5 linked regions of the Mus musculus genome follow. The protein of the gene in region 1 purifies or fractionates together with the protein of each later gene. This does not show direct contact. Links are inferred from orthologs where the notes say so. Each region holds a gene or a part of one and is shown in the gene's direction. Other genes may lie near its edges.

What was found.
Region 2: the proteins of Pfdn6 (region 1) and Pfdn1 purify together in Homo sapiens (affinity purification with mass spectrometry; 6 studies listed by BioGRID and IntAct, with this or other methods). This does not show direct contact. The link is inferred for Mus musculus from reciprocal best matches to the Homo sapiens genes PFDN6 and PFDN1.
Region 3: the proteins of Pfdn6 (region 1) and Pfdn4 purify together in Homo sapiens (affinity purification with mass spectrometry; 6 studies listed by BioGRID and IntAct, counting the BioPlex papers as one, with this or other methods). This does not show direct contact. The link is inferred for Mus musculus from reciprocal best matches to the Homo sapiens genes PFDN6 and PFDN4.
Region 4: the proteins of Pfdn6 (region 1) and Pfdn5 purify together in Homo sapiens (affinity purification with mass spectrometry; 5 studies listed by BioGRID and IntAct, with this or other methods). This does not show direct contact. The link is inferred for Mus musculus from reciprocal best matches to the Homo sapiens genes PFDN6 and PFDN5.
Region 5: the proteins of Pfdn6 (region 1) and Vbp1 purify together in Homo sapiens (affinity purification with mass spectrometry; 6 studies listed by BioGRID and IntAct, counting the BioPlex papers as one, with this or other methods). This does not show direct contact. The link is inferred for Mus musculus from reciprocal best matches to the Homo sapiens genes PFDN6 and VBP1.

The regions. Positions count from the first base shown.
Region 1 is NC_000083.6:33,938,407-33,941,741, reverse strand, and holds Pfdn6 (prefoldin subunit 6), read left to right. Parts: upstream 1-1,398; 5' UTR 1,399-1,654; coding exon 1,655-1,718; intron 1,719-1,923; coding exon 1,924-1,994; intron 1,995-2,078; coding exon 2,079-2,203; intron 2,204-2,630; coding exon 2,631-2,754; 3' UTR 2,755-2,833; downstream 2,834-3,335. Other genes in the region: Wdr46 (WD repeat-containing protein 46), read right to left, coding at 22-109, 224-336, 470-550, 651-857, 983-1,093. UniProt on the Homo sapiens protein: Binds specifically to cytosolic chaperonin (c-CPN) and transfers target proteins to it. Binds to nascent polypeptide chain and promotes folding in an environment in which there are many competing pathways for nonnative proteins.
Region 2 is NC_000084.6:36,451,695-36,455,897, reverse strand, and holds the start of Pfdn1 (prefoldin subunit 1), read left to right. Parts: upstream 1-1,402; 5' UTR 1,403-1,412; coding exon 1,413-1,445; intron 1,446-4,203. UniProt on the Homo sapiens protein: Binds specifically to cytosolic chaperonin (c-CPN) and transfers target proteins to it. Binds to nascent polypeptide chain and promotes folding in an environment in which there are many competing pathways for nonnative proteins.
Region 3 is NC_000068.7:170,509,758-170,514,029, forward strand, and holds the start of Pfdn4 (prefoldin subunit 4), read left to right. Parts: upstream 1-1,472; 5' UTR 1,473-1,688; coding exon 1,689-1,712; exon of another isoform or gene 1,713-2,170; intron 2,171-4,272. UniProt on the Homo sapiens protein: Binds specifically to cytosolic chaperonin (c-CPN) and transfers target proteins to it. Binds to nascent polypeptide chain and promotes folding in an environment in which there are many competing pathways for nonnative proteins.
Region 4 is NC_000081.6:102,324,779-102,328,915, forward strand, and holds the start of Pfdn5 (prefoldin subunit 5), read left to right. Parts: upstream 1-1,337; 5' UTR 1,338-1,410; coding exon 1,411-1,482; intron 1,483-1,654; coding exon 1,655-1,757; intron 1,758-2,039; coding exon 2,040-2,071; intron 2,072-3,743; coding exon 3,744-3,818; intron 3,819-3,869; exon of another isoform or gene 3,870-3,931; intron 3,932-3,933; coding exon 3,934-4,039; intron 4,040-4,137. UniProt on the Homo sapiens protein: Binds specifically to cytosolic chaperonin (c-CPN) and transfers target proteins to it. Binds to nascent polypeptide chain and promotes folding in an environment in which there are many competing pathways for nonnative proteins.
Region 5 is NC_000086.7:75,512,923-75,517,101, forward strand, and holds the start of Vbp1 (prefoldin subunit 3), read left to right. Parts: upstream 1-1,374; 5' UTR 1,375-1,416; coding exon 1,417-1,506; intron 1,507-4,166; coding exon 4,167-4,179. UniProt on the Homo sapiens protein: Binds specifically to cytosolic chaperonin (c-CPN) and transfers target proteins to it. Binds to nascent polypeptide chain and promotes folding in an environment in which there are many competing pathways for nonnative proteins.

The DNA.
Region 1 (3,335 bases):
CCTCTCCCAGCCTGGGCTCACCTTGGCAGCACTGGCGATGTCCACAGCCTCCACGATGTCTGTCTGCAGGATTTTTGCCGTGTCTTCCCCATCTTCTCCTACCAGAAACCTAAAAGGCAGTTAGGATGACGACGGTGACGGTCCCCACCATGCAGCGGGCATACAAACATAAAAACGCAGAGAGACAGGACAGCGGGGAAAGCCCAGGTCGGGGTCCACTCACCCAGGTTCCTCTGCAAGCAGCAGCTCAGCGCGGGCGGCTCTGACGCTTGCCTCTTCCTCTTGCGCTTCAGCCTTCTCGAGTTTGCTTTGAGTTTTAGGCTTCGAATGTGGGAGCTACGGCATTGTTGACAGGGTTGCAAGAACCGAAGAGCATATGTGGGGGTCCCAGGAAAACCACTGGGGAAGCCGCCACCACCTCATCCAAACCCTCGGCCTCCAATCCCTCTGACAGCCCGCCGGTCCTCACCGTTTTGGACTTGTCAATTCGACAAAACTTCCGGGCCTCCTCCAGGGGGGCGGGGACGGGTCCTGGGAACGGGTCCTGAGCCTGGCGAGGACAAGGAGGCAGGAGGCAGATTCTGATGGATCCGGTTCCTCTCGATCTCCGGGGACGACCTGCACCGCCACCCTGTCAACCCCAGGCTCACCCCCGACAGCGTCCTCTGAGGCTTCTTCCAGTCTGGAGCGGTCTTTGAGATCGGGGGCTTCTTGGAGAACCGGGACTTCTGGGCGATGTGCGCGCTCTTGGACCTCGGGGGTCGCGACTCCCCAGTCCTCGCCTTCTTCCGAGGCGGCCCCGGGGAGGTGGCGACGGCGGCCGGGGTGGTCTCCTCCTCCCAGTAGCGCCGCGGTTTCTAAGGGGCAGAGGAAAAGCCTTCGCACACGCTGCCCGAGCCTGGGCCCGGGACGCGGACACCTCCCACCAAAGCTACCTTCCTCTTGGCCTGAGGCTTGTCTCTCTTGGGTGGGACACCCCTACCCGGCTTGGGGGCTGTCTCCATCTCCAAGACCGAACAACGATCCACGTGCGAAACTCCCTTGAGTAGTAGCTCGGCGGTCTAGGAAAACTTCCGGAAGTCCCCCCCTTCATCCAATCAGCGCCGTACCGGCGTCTGAAGCCTCCGGCGCCATGTTAAGTGAGGGCATGCCTCTGTGAGCCCGGGAGGATCGCCCGAGGAGCAGCTTATAACCAAATAAAGATTTAAAAAGCATGTATGAGCCCCGAATCTTGTTAACTATGAGCTTAGATTTTTCCATATTAACTTTTCTGTCTTGCCCAAAACCTCTCGAGCCGAGTCTTTTAGGTCGAACGAGCCTCACACAAGTCAGAACTACATGTTCCAGCATGTATCGGAATGTAACTTCCGGCGCCGTCTTTTTCTCTCCCGTCATGCCTTGTTTACTTCCGGGTTTATTGATTACAGCGGGTAGAGCGTGAAGAGGTTAGCGTTTGGCTTGGAGGGTTCGGGGATCTCTTCTTTCGCTCTCCTTTGCCTAGGGAGTGGCTATTCTGGACGAAAAGAGGCTGCGGCGCCTCGGAGAGTTGCGGGTAGAAAGTGCTGTCCTTCTGCAGGGTCAGGGAGGGGGGATTCAGGTGCCTCCCAGAGCTTGAGACCCAGCGACCCCCGCCCAGGAGGCTTTCTCCTTCACCATGGCTGAACTGATCCAAAAGAAGCTGCAGGGAGAGGTAGAGAAATATCAACAGCTGCAGAAGGGTAAGAGAGGGAGTTGGTGTGGTCTCGCTCCTGTCCGCTCTCATCTATGATGAAGCGTCGCGCCCCATTGGGGGCTGCGGGGGTGCATCTTGTTACCCCTCGCCTCGGTATCGTCGCTTTCTTCCTCACACCCAGTCTCCCCAGAATTGCGCGGTTCTGGGCCCATTTGATGTTTTTAATCGTGCATTTCCTCTCTCCACCCCAGACTTGAGTAAATCTATGTCAGGGAGGCAGAAGCTCGAAGCACAGCTAACGGAAAACAATATCGTGAAGGAGGTGAGGATGGGACGCGGGGGTGGGGGGCGAGGAGGGACTCTCCTGGGCACGATCATCTCATTCACTGCCTCATCCCCTTCTCAGGAGCTGGCCCTGCTGGATGGATCCAACGTGGTCTTTAAGCTTCTGGGACCCGTGCTTGTCAAACAGGAGCTGGGGGAGGCTCGGGCCACAGTAGGGAAGAGGCTAGACTACATCACAGCAGAAATGTAAGTCCTGCGGATGGCGTTTTCAGTGCACAAGTGTTAAACCCGTGCTGGATAGTTCTCCACTTACCCATTTCTGTAAAGTCCTGGCTGCCCTGGAACTCGCTCTGTAGACGGGGCTGACCTGACACAGATGCGCCTGCTGCCGCCTCCTAAAGGATGGGATTAAAGGCATGTGGCACCACTCCTGGCCTTTCTTGCTGTGTGACATCTGGTGAGGGCACTTGTCAAAGGACAACCTGCGGGAATGTTTGCCTCCCTACTGTGGGGTTCTGTAGCTTGAATTCAGGTGCCAGCCTTGGAGGACAGCAGCCCTCTCTTCCCCTTAGTGCCATCCCCGCTTTCTGTCCCACAAACCTCCAGTCTTCCACCATATCATTGAGCCCTGGCTGATATCTCCTCTCCGTTTGCCTCCCTTTGCCCTCCTCAGCAAGCGCTACGAATCACAGCTTCGGGACCTCGAGCGGCAGTCAGAGCAACAGAGGGAAACCCTTGCTCAACTGCAGCAGGAGTTTCAGCGGGCCCAAGCTGCAAAGGCTCCTGGGAAAGCCTGACCCCGTGGGAGGGGGTCAGGAGGGAGGGATGAGGCTAACCCTGAGCCAATAAAATGTAAACAGAACCAAGCCTACTTTACAGCCAGTCTTTCTTCACTGTACTTCCATTCCCGTACACTTTTACACCTCTTGAGATTCACGGTCTTGTGACTGAAATCTCTCAGTGGCCGGATTCTGTTTTGCTTTCCTGTGGCTGAGAACTGTGCCCAGGGTGTTTCCTTGGGTCCCTTCAGTTTCAAAACTTTAGTCTGAAACGTCTCAAGCTATTTCTTGCCTGTACATACAACCCTTTGACTTCCCTACGTTGGTTGGCGTAACCGGGAGACACGGGAGAAGACACTGTCTACAGTGCAGCATGTTGTTCGTTGCCATAGAACTCAGTTCTCTGGCCTGAGAGCCCAGGAAATGACAGTCACTCACGGTGAGCACTTGTCTCCCCAAGCAGCCCTAGCCCTAGACTGTTACCTGATTTCCCCGTCTATCTTCTCAGGGTTGGTTTGAATGTAACTTTTTTTGGTTTTGGAGACAGGGTTTCCCTGTGTAGTCCTGGAACTCACTCTGTAGTGAGGCTGGCCTCGAAC
Region 2 (4,203 bases), on another chromosome or scaffold:
AAATCAAACACTGGCTGCACGGTCTCCAGAACTACATATGCCCTGAGATGAAAGAAAGAAGTATGTTTGTGTGCCAGAATGACAGAGCCAAAGCCAAAACAGATCTCCGTATAAGATCTCAGTCTGTATCCTGCCCCTGTCTCTTGGGGTGGTATTCCTGTTTATACACTGGCCTGGTATCACTACCGGACTGCCCTTACATTCATGGTGATCTTTCTGTCTCAGTTTCTCCAGTGCTGGGATCATGGGAAAGGGGCACAGTGCTTGACCCTCGTCTATTGTTTTTGAGTTTTTGTTCTTTGAGACAAGACTTACGTCGTCTGAGCTGAGCCCTAACTCTCTATGTCATTGAGGATAACTTGAACTTTTTAAATTTACAGATTTATTCTTATTCTCTTTAATTTTGTCTACGTGTGTGTGTGTGTGTGTGTGTGTGGGTGGTTAGAGGTCTGCATTCTTCTGGAACTGGAGACACAGGTCGTTGTGAGCCATCTAACATGCGTGCTGAGAGTCGAGCTATGGTTCTCTAGATGAGTATATACTCTTTAACTGCTGACCCACCTCTCCAGGTCCTAATTTTCATTTAAAATTTGAATGTATTTAGTGACTGTGTGTTCATAAGCAAGTGTGGGGATACACACATAGAAGGGAGTCAGAGGATAATTTGTGGGAATCATTTCTCTGCACCATGTGGGTTCTCAGGATTGAACTTTATTTCCTTGTGGTGGCAAGCACCTTTATTCCCTGGGCTGACCTGACCCTGAACTTCTGATCCTCCTGCTTCAACCTACCTAGTGCTTGGATCACAGGTATGCAACGTCATACCTGTTTAGTGCAGTGCTGTGGTTTCAATTCAGAGTTTTAAGGATGCTAGGCAAGCACTCAGCCAACTGAACTACACCCCAGCCAGGAATCTGATTTCAACAAACATATGCGACTTGTCTTGAGAAGCCCTGTGTCTAGATGATATAAGAGGAGGCTTCAGCAAAATTAAGTTCTTTTTGGTTGAACCGTACTTCTAATGGTCTTACAGGCATGCCTGAAGCTGGGGGCTTTATACATCCCTAACAGACAGGGACTGAATGAATGGTTGATAAGCTGACCCTCAAACCTGTTTCAATTCTGCAGCCCAAATGCAGATGTTTGTCTAATTGTATGTGGAAGATAAGACCGAGCCACATCTCAGCAGTTACACGTTGTTTATCAAGTATAATCAGAATTTCAATGTTCAGGGTCACTTGTCTCGTAGCAGAGTGGTAGAGTAGGGTAGATAGATTAGAGTGAGAAATCCGGGCTAGTGGAGGTTCACTTTTGCGCAGGCGCAGAAAGAAGCCTACTAATAAAACCTGAAAACGCCCTTCCCCCACCCCTTTCCGGCTTGCCTCTAGCGCAGGCGCAGAGAGTGCTCCAATATGGCCGCCTCCGTGGATCTGGAGTTGAAGAAGGTAAAGGGGGCTTTTCAGCAGACAGACCCTTCTGTTTGAATGATGAAGCGAGTGAGGAGGAGAACGGGGGCGGGAGGGGGTGAGGCTCGCGTCTCGCTGGAGGAAGGAGACTGTAGGGGGCGGGGTCTGGCCTCCCGGAGCCCTGAGACGGGACCTGTTCTGCTTCAGGTGGAGCCTCTTGGTGGCAGGAGCTGCTTCAGGCGGGTGGGTTGGGTTGCTGGGTCACGCGCGGGCTGGGCTGCAGTGTGTCCTTAGGTTGGAACTTCAGAGACATCTCTCTGTGTTTTGGAGCCGCCGGGACCCCAATTTCCTAGCCTGAACTGAAGACAGCGTCTCACAGTGATGCCCGTCACGGTGCTTGCAGGAGGCGCACCTGCAGTTTGGATTCCTCATTTGATTTGAAAAACTCCAGGTTCAACCTTTGCTTTTAGGTCATTTATTCTATACCATACCTTCCCCATCACCTTTGTAAAGAACTCACACACCACCCCTGCTCCCCACGTAAGCTTTCCAAAAGACCTTTCAGAGGAATTGGATTAGTATGGTTATTGTTATTTTGTTCAATTCATTGCTTAGAAATGGTTTTTTTTTTTTTTTTTTTTTTTTTTTTTTTTTTTTGTGACAGTGTCTCACTCAGTGTGTTCTAGAGACTTACTATGTAGCCAGGCTGGCCTTGAACTCCAGGCAATCTTTCTGCCTCAGCCTCTTGAGTTCTGGGAATTACAATCTTGAGTCAAAAGCCAGTTTATAAATGGGTTGTTATTTGGAAACATTTTTTGCTACTTAACAGTCTGAGAACCCTGACTGTGCTTTCCTTGTGGAGAGTTAGTTATAATTAGAGAGGGCCCTAGAATTCATTCTGCTAAAACTTACTTTTCTAAAGAGGGAAACTTCTAGTGTCTTTTGGTTTGTGGCTTGTTTGGTTTGGCTTAGTTTGGTTTGGTTAGGCCCTGAACCCCTAATGCACTTTAGTGCTGTTGCCTTCTGAATATTAGGGTAACAGATGCGTGCTAGGGTCCCTGGCAAGAAAAGTCTTAAAAGATTGAGCCTCAGGCAGAAAAATGGGTCAGTGGGTGAGACACTTGCCAGGCAGCCTGGCTGGTTAAGTGCTATCCCTAGAATCCATGCCGGAAGGAGAGAACTGCTCAAAGTTGTTCTCTAATGGTTTAGAGGCACAACGAAGTTCACTGGTCCCAAAGCACACACACAATAATAAACACATCTTTAAGACCGAGTCTAGGATTTGGTATTATTGTGGCCTTTTTTTTCAATCAGTAGGTTCTTTAGGTGAGAAACATTTTTGAAAGGTGTGTGTGTGTGTGTAGACATGCTTGCAAGGTGCTTCGTGGAGGTCAGAGAACAACTTATGGGAGTTGCTTTTCTCTCTCTTATGAAGTGGGTCCTGGGAACTGAACTCTTGTCTGGCCTTCTAGGCAAGCTGAGCTGTCTGCTGGCCCAGATTCTGGTCTTGTTTTTTCTAAGAGACCGAGTCTCATGTAGCCTGGGCTGGCCTGGAACTTGGTTATGTAGTTGGCATGCACCCCCACCCATTTTCCCCAGTGCTAGTATTTGCACCCAGGGCTTCCAGCATTCCCAGGACCTCTCACTGGGACCTAGGGATTGCCACTTTGGCTAGATTGTCTGTCTAGTGAGCTTTAGGGACCTTTTTTCCCCCTTGCCTCCATGCCTAGCATTAAACAACAGAAGAAACTTGTATTTTTATGTATGTATCTTGCCTGCACGAATGTCTGTATACCATATGTGTGCAGCCCTCTCAGGCTAGAAGAGGGCTTTGCCTCCCCTGAAACTGTAGTTAACAGGTGGTTGTGGGCTGCTATGTGGGTACTGGGAACCAAACCTGGTCCTCTGCAAGAGTAGCCAGTGCTCTTAACCCCTGAGCCATCCCATCAGCTCCCAAGCTCAGCTTTCTTTGTGGGTCCTGGGGAGTGAACCCTGGGTCAGCTGACTGAACTGTTTCCCTAGCTCCTATAAGTAACATCTTAAGTAGCTGCCTCTGGTTAACCTTTGCCTAAGCAATACAACAGCTGAAATAGCTGTTCCTAATAAAAGACGCCACTTGTTATTGTTCTGGGGATGCTAAGTATGTGGATCTTGCTTTTTGCCATTCTTGTCTTGAAACATGTAAACTTAGCCTTATACAGCATTCTCTCATGCTATAAATCTCAGCCTTTACATTTTCTCTTTCTCTCTTTTTCTTTTTTGAGACAGGGTCTCACCATATGTCCTGGACTTGCCTGGTACTCACTATGTAGGTAGACCAGGCTAGCCTTGAAATCACAAGAGATCCTTCTGAGTGCTGGGATTAAAAGTGTGCATTTCTATGCCTGATATGTAAATCTTAGCTTTATATATAAAGCTTTATATAAAATGTTTTCTCCTTTTATCATGTGAGTTCAGGTTCTAGGGCTGGAACTCTGGTTGTTAGGCATGGTACCTTTACCTGCTGAGCCACCTCATGGACCTCTGTTTGTCTGTCCACCCATCTATTTATCTATAGATAGATTAAAAAATAATTTTAAAATGTTTGTGTGTGCATATACAAGTGTGCTCAAGTGTTCTCTTACTATGTAGTTCCCAGGGATCAAACTTAGGTTATCAGGCCTGGTGGACAGTGCCGTTCTCTGCTGAGTCAATTTCACTGGTCCTAAAAAAAAAAATATCTTTTGTGAGACTAGGTGTCTTGTAGCTCAGCCTGGTCTCGAATATCTTACAAATCTGAGTCCCAAACAACTCCTGA
Region 3 (4,272 bases), on another chromosome or scaffold:
AACCAAATGGGCACATGCATTATACATTAGAACAGCGGTTCTCAACCTGTGGGCCGTGATCCTTTTGGAAAGTCGAATGGCCCTCCCACCCAGGTCAAGTATCAGACATCCTGCATGTCTGGCATTTACGTTACAATGTATAACAATAGCAAAATTACTGTTGTAAAGTAGCAATGAAATAATTTAATGGTTGGGAGTCACCACAACGTGAGGAACTGTATTAAAGGGTCACATTAGGAAGGTTGAGACCCACTGCGTCATAAGCAGACAGGCGAGATCTGCCCCTCTTCCCCTCCTTGGCATGCCCTTGTGCTTGAAGCCATAGGAGGGACTGGCAGAGATGCAAGAGCGCCCAGCCGTGCTTTTACTGTCCTGCGGCTCACACCTGGTCCTCCCTGTCCCTTGGTAAATGAGACAATGGCCCATACCCCAATACTCTAAGCTCTTCTGCCCTCAGACCTCCGACTTTCTGAGAGCAAAGTCTTGGCTACCGAAGTTAACAATGGCCCTGGTTACTAAGGAAGCTCGGTGCCCACTGGGCCCTGTGTGGGCAGTCTTCCCAGGCTAACATATTTGAGCGAGTGGAAGACATATTTCTGAACCAATTTAATTTTAAACACATAAAAGAATTCATTTCAGTTGCACATGATGGAGCACGCCTCTGATCCTAGCGCTTGGAGAGCAGAGGCAGGAAGATCTCTGTGAGTTTCAGGCCAGCTTGGTCTACACAGCTAGTTCCAGGACAGCTAGGATTACATTGCAAGACCCTGTCTCTAAATATAAATAGCCAAGCAACCGTCCAGTAAGCTATTATCTAAGCATTTAAGTTTGTTATAGCGCTCTAGGTCAGTGGTTCTCAACCTATAGATCGGGAGCCCTTTACAGAAGCCGCCTAATACTATCAGAAAATAGATATTTATTGACATTATGACCCAGCACCGTAGCAAATTTACATAATGAAGTAGCAACAAAACTACTTTTTATGGTTGGGGGGGGCACTACAACATTTAACTGTATTAAAGGGTCTCAGCACTAGGAAGATTGAGAACCACTGCTCTGGATCTTTTTGGGTGTCACCTACCTTTGGCTTCATCTATTCCTGGCTGATCCCCTAGTGTCCCCTGCAGTGATCAGTGGCATACAAGCTAAGATCAACTTCAAGAGTGGCCTTCAGCTTGTAGCTTCGCCAGCACTGGGTTTTTATGTGGTAGGGGCTGTAGATCGAACTCAGGTCCCCATGCTTGAGTGCAAATACTTGACCAAATGATTTACCAAATACTTTGCCGAAGCCACGCCCTTACCCTCCTTAGCTTCTCTCTAGGTTGTTGAATAAATGGAAAAAGAATTTCTTAAGCTTCCCATTCCACACAGCTGGGTGGTACCCAGCGCTCCCCCTGCTGGCCGTGGCTGGGATCTCGGGCCCGACTATTGGCCGCTTTTGGTATTTATGCCGGCCGAGAGGGAAGCTGCCTGTCCCTTTAATTGGAAGATACCAAGTGTTTCCAGGGCATAGTTTTTTTTCCTGAGTCCTTGCCCTGGGAATTTATAGTTCAGAGACACAGATAGCAGCAGTGTTGAGATAGTGCTGTGCGTTAGGGGGGAGTCTGGCTCAGCAGGGCTCGAGAGGGACCTCGGGGGGTGACGCACGCCCGAGTGGTTTTCCCCCGCGCCCCGTGGTTCAGTCCAAGATGGCGGCCACCATGAAGAAGGCGGTGAGTGCGGCGGGGCCGGGGTCCGAGGAGCCGTGGGCCGGGGCGTGTGAGGAGACGCGGGGCGCTGGGGGCCGGGGTCTGAGGAGGTGAGGGATGCGCGGGGCCGGGGCCCGCGCTGGGTACAGGGGTGCTTCTGTCCGCTCCGCTCGCCGTCAGGGCAACCGCCTCACCTGCTCAGGGTCGTGCATCTCCTCGGGCACCGGGTCGGGCTCCGCATCCCGGGCCGTCTGCTACCGCATCCCGGGGCGTCGTCTGCTACCGCACCTCTGTGCTCCGCCCCGGACCGCTCCGGTCGGTCCACGCTCCGTGCACCGAGTGTCTAATTGACGTTGAGAGCAGTCGGCCCGAGCGAGCGCGGTGGCTCTCCGGGCTTTTCCCAGCCATTAGGAAGGACACGGGTCCCCACGCTCTGCCCCGCACACTTCACAGCCAGCCAGCCAGCCAGCCATTCCTTTGGTGACTCATCTGGTGAGATGCTGGGTCTGGTGATTTTTGTTTGGTCAAATTAGAGCTCTTTATCATTTTTAAAACGACGTCCGATCCTTGTTCATGGGGCTCGGTGTGATGTCTTATCACACTTTTGAAAGACACGGACTTGTGTGTGTGTGTGTGTGTGTGTACACACCAGACTGGTCCACGGCTTCCTATGCAGTCAGAGATGATTTTGAATTTCTGACTCTCCTGCCTCCACTTTCCAGGTGCTGGAATCACCGGTGTGTGCCACTACCCCTGGCTTTTGGTGTGCTGGTGTGGTGGACCCAGGGCTTCATGCATGACAGGCAGTAGACATGGCTATGCAACCCTTTCAACCAATATTTTGAAACTTGAGCTAAATTTGAGCCACCAACTTAAGTTAAACTTCCATGTGGGTTTTTATAACCTAAACGTGTTTCCAGGAGTGCAGGTGTATCTAATACAGGGAAAGAATTGCAGAGGAGGGGAAAAAAAAAAAAGAACAAACAAGCAAACAGCTGATAGCTATTGGGGCTTCACAGTGTGTTCGGACAGTTCTTAGCATTTGCTAATTATTTTGATCTGCTGTGTCAACCTTTTGGGAGATTCTGTATTTATTCACTTTTAGCTGAAGAGGAAACTGAAGCGCAGAAGAAAAGCTGTGATTTAAAGAGCATTTGCACTCCAGGCTCCTGTCTGTCTGTCTCTCTGCCTCTGCCTCTCTCAGGCTCCTTGTCTGTCTGTCTCTCTGTTTCTCTGTGTGTGTGTTAGTGTGTGTGTCTCCCCCCCACCCCACCCCGGGCTCCTTGTCTGTCTGTCCGTTTGCCTGTCTGTCTCTGATGAGAGGCGCTTGGCTGAAGACAGTTGCTTTCACTCTACTTTGTAAGGCCCCTGTAGAATGCCTTTGTGTTCTCGCTGTTGGCACCGTGTAGTCAGTGCTTCTGACCACTGAAGGTTGATGCTCAGCATCCCAGTTCATTAAGAGGGAATGGCTGCTGAGCCTGGGGAGGCTTCAGAGTTCGAAAGAGCCCCTCGCCCTGGTCTGTCACCCACAAATTATTACACGGTAGCAGAGTACAGTCCGGGGCCACGGTGATTTGGCCAGGTAGGAACAGGTTCATTTTGCCTCTCTTGTTAGACTGTGCTCTCAGCTGTGGGTTACACTGGTCAGTTCCACGATAAACATTGTCCTTGCTTTTGCTTTTCTGAGACAAGGTCTCACTGTGTAGCATTTGCTGGTCTGGAACTCTTAAGAGATCTGACTGTCAGCTGAAATTGTGGAGAGCTTTTTGGCTGGGGACCCAGATCTCAGTACCTGAACTTGGAATAGAGTATGGTTTATTTCCTCTTAACAATCCCATAAGGTGTTACTGAGGCCAGGGTGTAGTCAGGGTCCAGGGCAGCTTACTTTCTTCTTGAATTTGGAGCAAGTCATGTCTTGTATAACTAGCAGAATTCCCTTAACTCTACAGTGATCCTTTTTGCCATTCTGCCTTCATTTCTCACATAGCCCAGGCTGGCCTCAAACTCACTATGCAGCTGAGGATGACCTTGAATTGTTAATCCTCCTGCCTCCGCCTCCCAGGGGCCAAGTGGCTTCTGGTGGCTGCTGTTTGTCAGGGCTATGTCGGGAAATGCCTGCTTTGGAAAAAGCAAAAACAGCCAACTTCCAGCACTCTTTGATGTCAAAATATCTGAGTCTGATCTATCGTAATTTAGATTCTAATTCAGAAATCTTTCACCAGTGTTGCTTGTCAGGCAGGCCCTACTAGGGCCTCTCACCTGAGTTGCTTTTAAAGTCCTCGTGGTGACAGACACACCTGAAAATGCATCCTAGGGCTTGGGGGCTCTGTAAACTCCCGAGTTAAGAAGGGAGTCCTCGAGGTTTTCTGGGAGATTGATAATTCTCGTAGGCAAAGCACCAGGATACAGGTCTCACCGTCTTCGTGTCTGTTGAGTGTCTGCTGCTCGCCTCTGTGCTGTCTGTGCTCTGCGCTGTGCACACATGGTGGGGCGGACTCTGACCATACGCATTAGGGCTGATGTCAGGCTTGGGGCATGCGCAGTTGCTTGTTGGGATGAGAGCCTAGATTCCAACACCTGTCTA
Region 4 (4,137 bases), on another chromosome or scaffold:
ATGATTTTAGAAACCATTGCCCTTCCCACCAAGGCTGCTACACTTTGGCAATGGCAGCAGCAGATTCAATGGGGTTTGCTACTCATATGGTTTGTTGCAACAACTACACCTTTAAAAGTTTCTGGGAGGGGGGGGGGTGCTGGTGAGATGGCTCAGTGGGTAAGAGCACTGACTGCTCTTCCGAAGGTCCAAAGTTCAAATCCCAGCAACCACCCATAATGAGATCTGATGCCCTCTTCTGGTGCGTCTGAAGACAGCTACAGTGTACTTCCATGTAATAAATAAATAAATAAATAAATAAATAAAAGTGTGTGTGCACCACCAATATCTGGCTGATATTGTTAAAAAAAAAAAAAAAAGTTGCTGGGAAGCACACAGACCCTTCCTATCCAACACACAATGGTGGGGCTAGACAGACACTCAGCAGTTATGAGCACTAGGTTGCTCTTTCAAAGGACCTAGGTTTGGTTTGCCTGCATATATACTGAGACATAAAAATAAATGTAGTTGGTTGGCAGTTGTTCCTTTTTGGCACTTGCACTTTATCCTTTAAAGCGCGTTAGTGGTACTGTCAGAACACAGGTTCCCTGCTGTCCTGTCGCGGGCTTGTCCCAACAACGCGCAGTAGCTTATACCGCTTTACAATCTTGTGGTTGTGTCGTGAGTCCGAGAGTTTCGAGTCCCTTGAAGGCCCAAGCCATGTTTGCTAACTAATTTTATAACTACCTTCCTCTACTACCCATTCTGTATTTCCTTCACCTTCAGCCAGCACCTCAGCAGGTCTTGGCTCTTTTCCTGGAGGATTGACCCATACCTTCATTCCTGATGGGTCTGTGTCCTTTGTCATCCTGCTTGGATTAGGCTGTTGTAGTTTCCCATTGACTTTAATCACAGGACATGGTAGTACTAAGAGACGCCCTAAGGGATCTCCTACACTCCAGACATAATCTTGCTTACCACCATTGTGAAGAGGTAATCCAATTTCCCCATGGTAATCTGGATCTATCACCCCTCCTAACACTGTTATTCCATTTTTAGCCTGTTGGTTTAAGGGCATTAGAAGCCCAAAATGACCAAGGGGAAGTCTGAGCTTCCAGTTCAATGGAATGTTTGTTGTAGCTCCTGGTAGGAGCACTCCCCTCTCTGGAGCCAAAACTTCTAGGCCAGCAGAACCTAGAGTTATGGGGACAGGAAGCCAAAATTACCGTGCTAGCTTTAGTGTACTCTGAGAAAAGAAAAACTTGCGTTCTCTAATTAAGCTTGAGATCCGAAAAGCGGGTCCGAAACACAGGATCATAGAGACGACGGGCGCAGAGCGTATCCCCTGGCGGCACCACGGAGGTAACGCGGAGGGCGGCTAGAGCGTCACTCGCCCAGGCGGCTTCCTCTTCGGCAGTCCTCCTTCCCAACATGGCGCAGTCGATTAACATCACGGAGCTGAATCTGCCACAACTGGAAATGCTCAAGAACCAGCTGGACCAGGTGAGGACCTGTCCCAGCACCTTCCTCGCGCTTCATATCCTCCGACCGACCGCCCGCCCGGTCGGGGAGGCTTCCTTTCCCAGGGAAACCCCTATCCGGTCCCGGGTCCCGCCCCCTCAGCCTGGGCCCCGCTTTCTTGAGCTGACCCCTTGTTTTTTCCCGGCTTCTGTAGGAAGTGGAGTTTTTGTCCACGTCCATTGCTCAGCTCAAGGTGGTCCAGACCAAGTACGTGGAAGCCAAGGACTGTCTGAACGTGCTGAACAAGAGCAACGAGGGTATGGGCTAGGCGGGTGAGGGCGCCTGGGGATGCCGGCTTCTCCTTCGCTTTTTCCTAGTTCCAGTTTTCGTTAAAGAAAACTGTTTGTTACTTAGTGTGTGTGTAGCCACAGGAGCCCCCGCATGTTGCCTACAGAAAACTAAAATGTACAAGACATTTCCTCAGTTGCTGTGTTCTTTTCACTGTCTGTGAACACTGAGCCCTGTTGGGAGCTTCCCCTAACGTCTTCGCGTGGGAGCCGCTAGCCTTCCCCAGCTGTTTGTCTTTATTACTTTCACAGGAAAAGAATTACTGGTCCCACTGACGAGTTCTGTATCCTTTCCACGGGAAATGCTACCTTACATTCTTCCACAGTCTTTCCCAAAAGCGGGGAGAGTTTTGATTTTAAGAACAGTCGAACACTTAACGTAGCTCACTTGTCTAACGTTGCACCAGTGTCCATGTAATACTTTGTATCAGAGTTCGGTGAAGAATTGAAATGTTGTGTTTCTCTTTGTTTAGAGATGTCAATATGGAGACAAAGCTGGCATTTGGCTAAAGCCAGTAGAAAAAATGTTAGGATATTGAAATTGGGAACTTGCCTCTTTTTTCAATTTCACCTTAATTGCCGCTCATCTCTAATAGTGAAAGGTAGATTGTTTCCTCCTGTTGAAATGACCTGTTGTCATTTCCACCAGGAAATGACAGTCGAAAGAGAAACCTAAGAATAGCAAAGTGGTGAAGACTGTTTTAAGTAACAATAGAGCCGGCAAGGTGACGACGCAGAGCGTAAAACCCACACATACACACTGAGCTAACTTTCTGATACTAATGGGGTGGAAGGAGAAGACCAACTCCCAGAAGTTGTCCTCCGACCTTCGTGCTCCATGGCATGCACACTTGTGAAAACACACACACAGACCAAATACATGTAAGTTTAAAAGTAGTAATAATTTGTAACTAGAGAGATGGCTCAGCAGTTAAGAGCACTTGCTCTCAGTGAGAACCCAATTGGGTTCCGAACATCTACATGGTGTAGGTGACAACAATTCAAGGGGATGCAGCAACCTTTTCCGACTTCTGCAGGCACCAGGCATGCACATGATGCATACACATACACATAGTTTTGTCTTAGGGTTTCATTGCTGTGAAGAGACATCATGACCAAGGCAACTCTTTTTTTTTTTTTTTTTTTTTTTTTTTTTGGTTTTTCGAGACAGGGTTTCTCTTTTAGCTCTGGCTGTCTTGGAACTCACTCTGTAGACCAAGCTGGCCTCGAACTCAGAAATCCGCCTGCCTCTGCCTCCCGAGTGCTGGGATTAAAGGCGTGCGCCACCACGCCCGGCTGCAACTCTTGTAAAGGCAAACATTTCATTTGGGGCTGGTTTAGAGTCAGAGGACTCAGTCCACTGTCACTGTGTCTGGAAGAATGGGAGCACCCAGGGAGACATGGTGCTGTAGAAGGAGCTGAGAGTTCTACATCTTGATCCAATTGGCAGCCAGGAGAAGAGACCATCTTCCAGGTAGCTAGGAGGAGGGTCTCAAAGCCCACCCCCACAGTGCCACACTTCCTCCAACAAAGCTATATAGCTCCTAATAGTACCACTCTGTGGGCCAAGCATATTCGAACCACAAATCTAAAATTAAATATTTAAATCAAAATTAGTAATAATCCATCAGGATTCATGGTTCAGGGGAAGTGAGGCCGGCTTTTCACTCACACTATTCTGGAGCTTTAGGAAAGAATCCTAAGTATCTGATCTGTTCCTTCTGGAAAGTGGAAAAATACAGGGGCTCCTTTAAAGAGGAGAGATGGGATCAGGACCAGAAAGTGTTCCAGCTTCTGTTGTGTCCCTCCAGTTACAGTGACCCGTAAGTTAAGGCTTCCGGTCTCTTGGTTCTCCCAGCTGCAGCTTTTTAGAAAAGGACACCTTGGGGTTAGTACCCTGGCTGACAAACCCATGCCGCATGCTGGGTCAGTTTTTTCTTAACCCTGCCCTCTCAGATGTACGTCCCCGGGAAGCTACACGATGTGGAGCATGTGCTTATTGATGTGGGAACCGGCTACTACGTGGAGAAGGTGAGCGGGGGTGGGGGTGGGGAAGTTCTGAGGAGGTGAGCGACGGGAGCTTAAGGGGAGAGGTGTGGTGTAGGACAGGGTCTCTCTAGTCTTTCATTCACCTCTGCTCTTGCAGACAGCTGAGGACGCCAAGGACTTCTTCAAAAGGAAGATAGACTTCCTCACCAAACAGATGGAGAAAATCCAGCCAGCGCTGCAGGAGAAGCATGCCATGAAGCAGGGTAAGTTCTGCCTAGGGTACCTCTTTTGTAAACTAACTCTTATCTCTCTTTCTGTAAAGTAGTATTTATTATTCCTCTGTGTGTGTGTGTGTGTGTGT
Region 5 (4,179 bases), on another chromosome or scaffold:
TTAACTCCTGCCCACTCCCTCTTGGATTCATGGTCCCTTCTTGTATGATTATTACTGTATCTTATATAAACTTATAACTGAGTACATTTAATGTTGTTCATATGTACATGTACTTGGGGCTGACCATTTAAGATTTGGCAACCTATCAGGGGGGCTTGTCTCTGGAGAAAATTGATTCTCCCTCCCTCAGCAGCCATTGACTGATTGTAGTTCATCATCTAGTGTAGGGCTGTGTGAAATTTCCCTCATTCCCATTAACGTGTATGCTGCTGGGGTCATTATGTAGGACTTGGCTAGGCAACCATATTGTTGAGATTTCATGGCTATAGTTTCCCTGCCATGTTGTTCTGGCTGGTTTTATGTGTCAACTTGACACAGCTGGAGTTACCACAGAGAAAGGAGCTTCAGTTGAGGAAATGCCTCCATGAGATCCAACTGTAAGGCATTTTCCCAATTAGTGATCAAGAGGGAAAGGCCCCTTGTGGGTGGGACCATCTCTGGGCTGGTAGTCTTGGGTTCTATAAGAGAGCAGGCTGAGCAAGCCAGGTAAGGCAAGCCAGTAAAGAACATCCCTCCATGGCCTCTGCATCAGCTCCTGCTTCCTGCCCTGCTTGAGTTCCAGTCCTGAGTTCCTTTGGTGATGAACAGCAGTATGGAATCGTAAGCTGAATAAACCATTTTTTCCCCAACTGCTTCTTGGTCATGATGTTTGTGCAGGAATAGAAACCCTGACTAAGACAAATTGATACTGGCTTGCTTTGTTTTATAAGCTACTTTTGCTTTTATTTGCAAACAGGGTCTCCTGCAGTGATTATGCATATCTGGTTTATTGATAGATTTGCTTTTTAAAGAGTTGTTGTGGAGGACAAAACTCTGGGAAGTCTTTGGATCTAAGAATTTAAGCACAGCTCTTGGCATTTTTTTCACATAAACTATAAACATATCGAAAGTTTTGACCTGGAAGCCGACAAGTATCTCACTGAAGGTGGCTTGTGAGAAAGATTGGTGTATTTCTTATGAGTCCAGGGCATACACACTCAGAATGAAGTTCACTGGTCTGCAAAAGGGAATTGGGATTGCCTCAGAAGCCACTCTGGAGTGTAGTCTCTTGATATCTTCAGGTGCAGGTGGGGCTGCGGTTTGGCATGGTCTGAATTCCCAGGGCTTTATCCTTGCCCATTCCTTAGATCTCTGAGATTAAGCATTAGAATAAGCATTAGCCTTCTGGCTTTTCCAACACATCCTTTCTAAGCTTGTCAGTCACATGCGTGTAGCCAATCACCACCCACGACGTAAGCACCAATGAATACGCAGATTCGCAGGGAGAGAGGCGGGTCTGAAGTGCAAACGATCCAATCACTGACGCCAACGATCGATGCCTCAGAAGGTAGTTATTTGCTCTGGTGCTTTCTGAAGATGGCGGCGGCTAAGGACGGATGCGGCCTAGAAACTGCTGCTGGAAACGGGCGGCGGCTCCACTTAGGGATTCCTGAAGCAGTGTTTGTGGTAAGAAACTCTTTCTCAGCGTCTTAATCTGATATTGGAGATTGCTTTCCAGTCACTTCCCAGGTCTGGGTCGTTGGGAGGAACAGAGCTAAAGGGTCCCGGAAGGGAATGTCTGGCCTTTTGCCTCTTCCTGCATCTTGGCTTTTTAGGCCTGGCGGGCGATAGCTTTGAAGAAAGGTAGTCCAACCCCGGCCCAGAAGAGGGAGCAGGGAGGAGAACTGGGTAGCTGGAGACGGATGCGAGGCGGATTGGGGCGTGGCGTCCCTTGAAACTGACCAGTTGCTGCCTGTTGTCGCCTAAAGAAAAACAAAAAACAGCAGCAACGGTTATTGAGCTCAAGACCGCAGTGATGCCGGAGATGTAGATGGGTGGACATTTAGCACAGAGAGCAGGCAGAGCAGCTGTTTGTAGGGTGTGGGTACTGAGTGGCACCCAGTCAGCTTGAGCACGGCCGTGGTCCGTTTCCTTGGGAATGGAAGCAGACTGCTGAGAAAAGTAAACGTTAGCACAAACGTTAAGTCCATGTGTTCTTGCTTTTAAGAATTGAGGCTTATGTAATGGGCAACCGGCTGTTATTAGGTTTTTGAAACCATTTTATATTTGCTTTTAGTAATACTATTTAAGCAGTTTGTAGACAACAAATTTTATGCAGTTGTGAAGATTGTGGGAAATGCAATTGGAAGGTTTCATGTAACAGGACCGACCCAAGTTAAATATTTGTACTGAAGCATATAAAATCTTAGTCAAAATTTCCTTGATTCTTTTTTGGTATGTACCAAAAATTATATATATTCTGTCTTATTGCTAACATTCTTCAAAAGACCCTTTTTTTCTTTTACTTAAATCACATTTTATATTGTATATTTTAATGTGCTGGTGGAATAAATTTTTATGTGTATTCTCAATGTTCTGTGCTTTTAAAAATATTTTTCAAGTGATCTTTACATGAAGTAATATTTTCTGAGGTTCAGAAATTTTCTTAGAAAATTTGCAAAACTTTATGAGGGAGTTACTGTTGTTCAAATTTTGTAGATGTAGTTGATGAAACCCAGAAATAGAGGTATCCAGAAGTAGCATTTGAGCAGTCAGGAGAGCTTTAGAACCTCTTTGGTCATGCTCTGCTACTTAGAGGTGAGGAAATTTTGTGTTATTTCTCCTGATCCTATTATAATGCCTGATATATAAGGATGTAAATATATAAATTTCCATTCTGTCTTAAATATAACCCGATAGCAGTAACTTCAGAAATGGAATTAATGAATACAAACTTTATCTGAGGGATTTACCGTAAAATAAACTTTTATTTATTTATTTTATTTATTTATTTTTTTGAGACAGCCCAGGTTGGCTTAGAACTCACTGTTTGGATTAGGATGGCCTCAAATTCATAGTGCCTGTCCTGCTTCTGCTTTCCAAGTTTGTAGGTTAAAGACAGACACTGTGACAACTGGCTGTAAAATTTTATGGTTAAATTTTATACCAACACGATGTAATAAGCAGTCCAAACTTTATATAATTATCTTGATGTTCCAAAACTAATGGAAGTGGCATGATATTTTAACAACATAAAATTCTATGTCTGAGAGTATTTGAATCCTACCCAACTTCCATCTTGCTGCTTAGTCTTGAGTTTCTATGGGTGACAATATTTATGGACTTATTTTGAAAAATAAAATATGTATTCAATTGAATTAAATCAGTAAGAAAAATGATAACTTTGGCACACAATTTGCTCAATTCTTTAGTGACTAGGGCACATGAGTAGGCAGTGTGCTTCATTGCTAGCAATTTTCATATTTATTACTAGAGCCACATGAGAAATGTATAAAGCAGGCAAGTTCATGTGTCTTACATTAAAAACAGAAAAATAAAGAATAAATTACCTACATAATGTATGTAAACTGTCCGAAATGGTCTTTCTTGAACTTTTTTTTTCTTTTTTTGAGACAAAGTATGTTGTCCAGGCTGACAACTTTGGATCCTTTCGCTTCTACTTCCTAAGTTCTGGGATAACAGACCTGTAGCATCATGTCTAACTTCTCTTTAACTTTTCTTCTGCCAGTGCTGGGGATAACCTAGGGCCACCTGTCTTGTAGGCAAGTGGTATACCACTGAGCTCCAGGGCAGCCATCTTTAACTCTTTATAGTTAGGTTTTTAATTAAAAACAAGCTTTCAGAAAAGAAAAATTAGTTCTCTCCAGTGGAGTCTCACTAGGTATATTAGCCATACTAACGGGTGGATTCCATGCAGGGCAGTAAATAGACGGCCACCACAAAATTAATTCAATCGTATTGTTGTAGACTTTTTGTGTAGTATTGTTTGAGTATTTTTCTCCCTCCTGGCCTTTTGCCTGGATGCTTTCATTTCAGATTTTGTGTTTTTATGGATTTTTTTTGTTTTTAAAATTATGGCTTTTTGTTTGTTTGCCTATTTTCTAAAGAAAGAGAAATTGGGGAGTTGGAGAGGTGGGAGGATCTTGGAGGAGTTGGGAGAGGGGAAGTTGATCAGATTATTTTATGAAATTTTTTCTTCAAAAAAAATTAAATGAAACAAACCTTTGAGGAAAACAAAACTTGTTCTTTTACATTTTATAAACAAAGTAGTAAAAATCAGGTTTGTAATATGAATTTAAAACTTCGTATGATTTTTCATATTAAAGGAAGATGTAGATT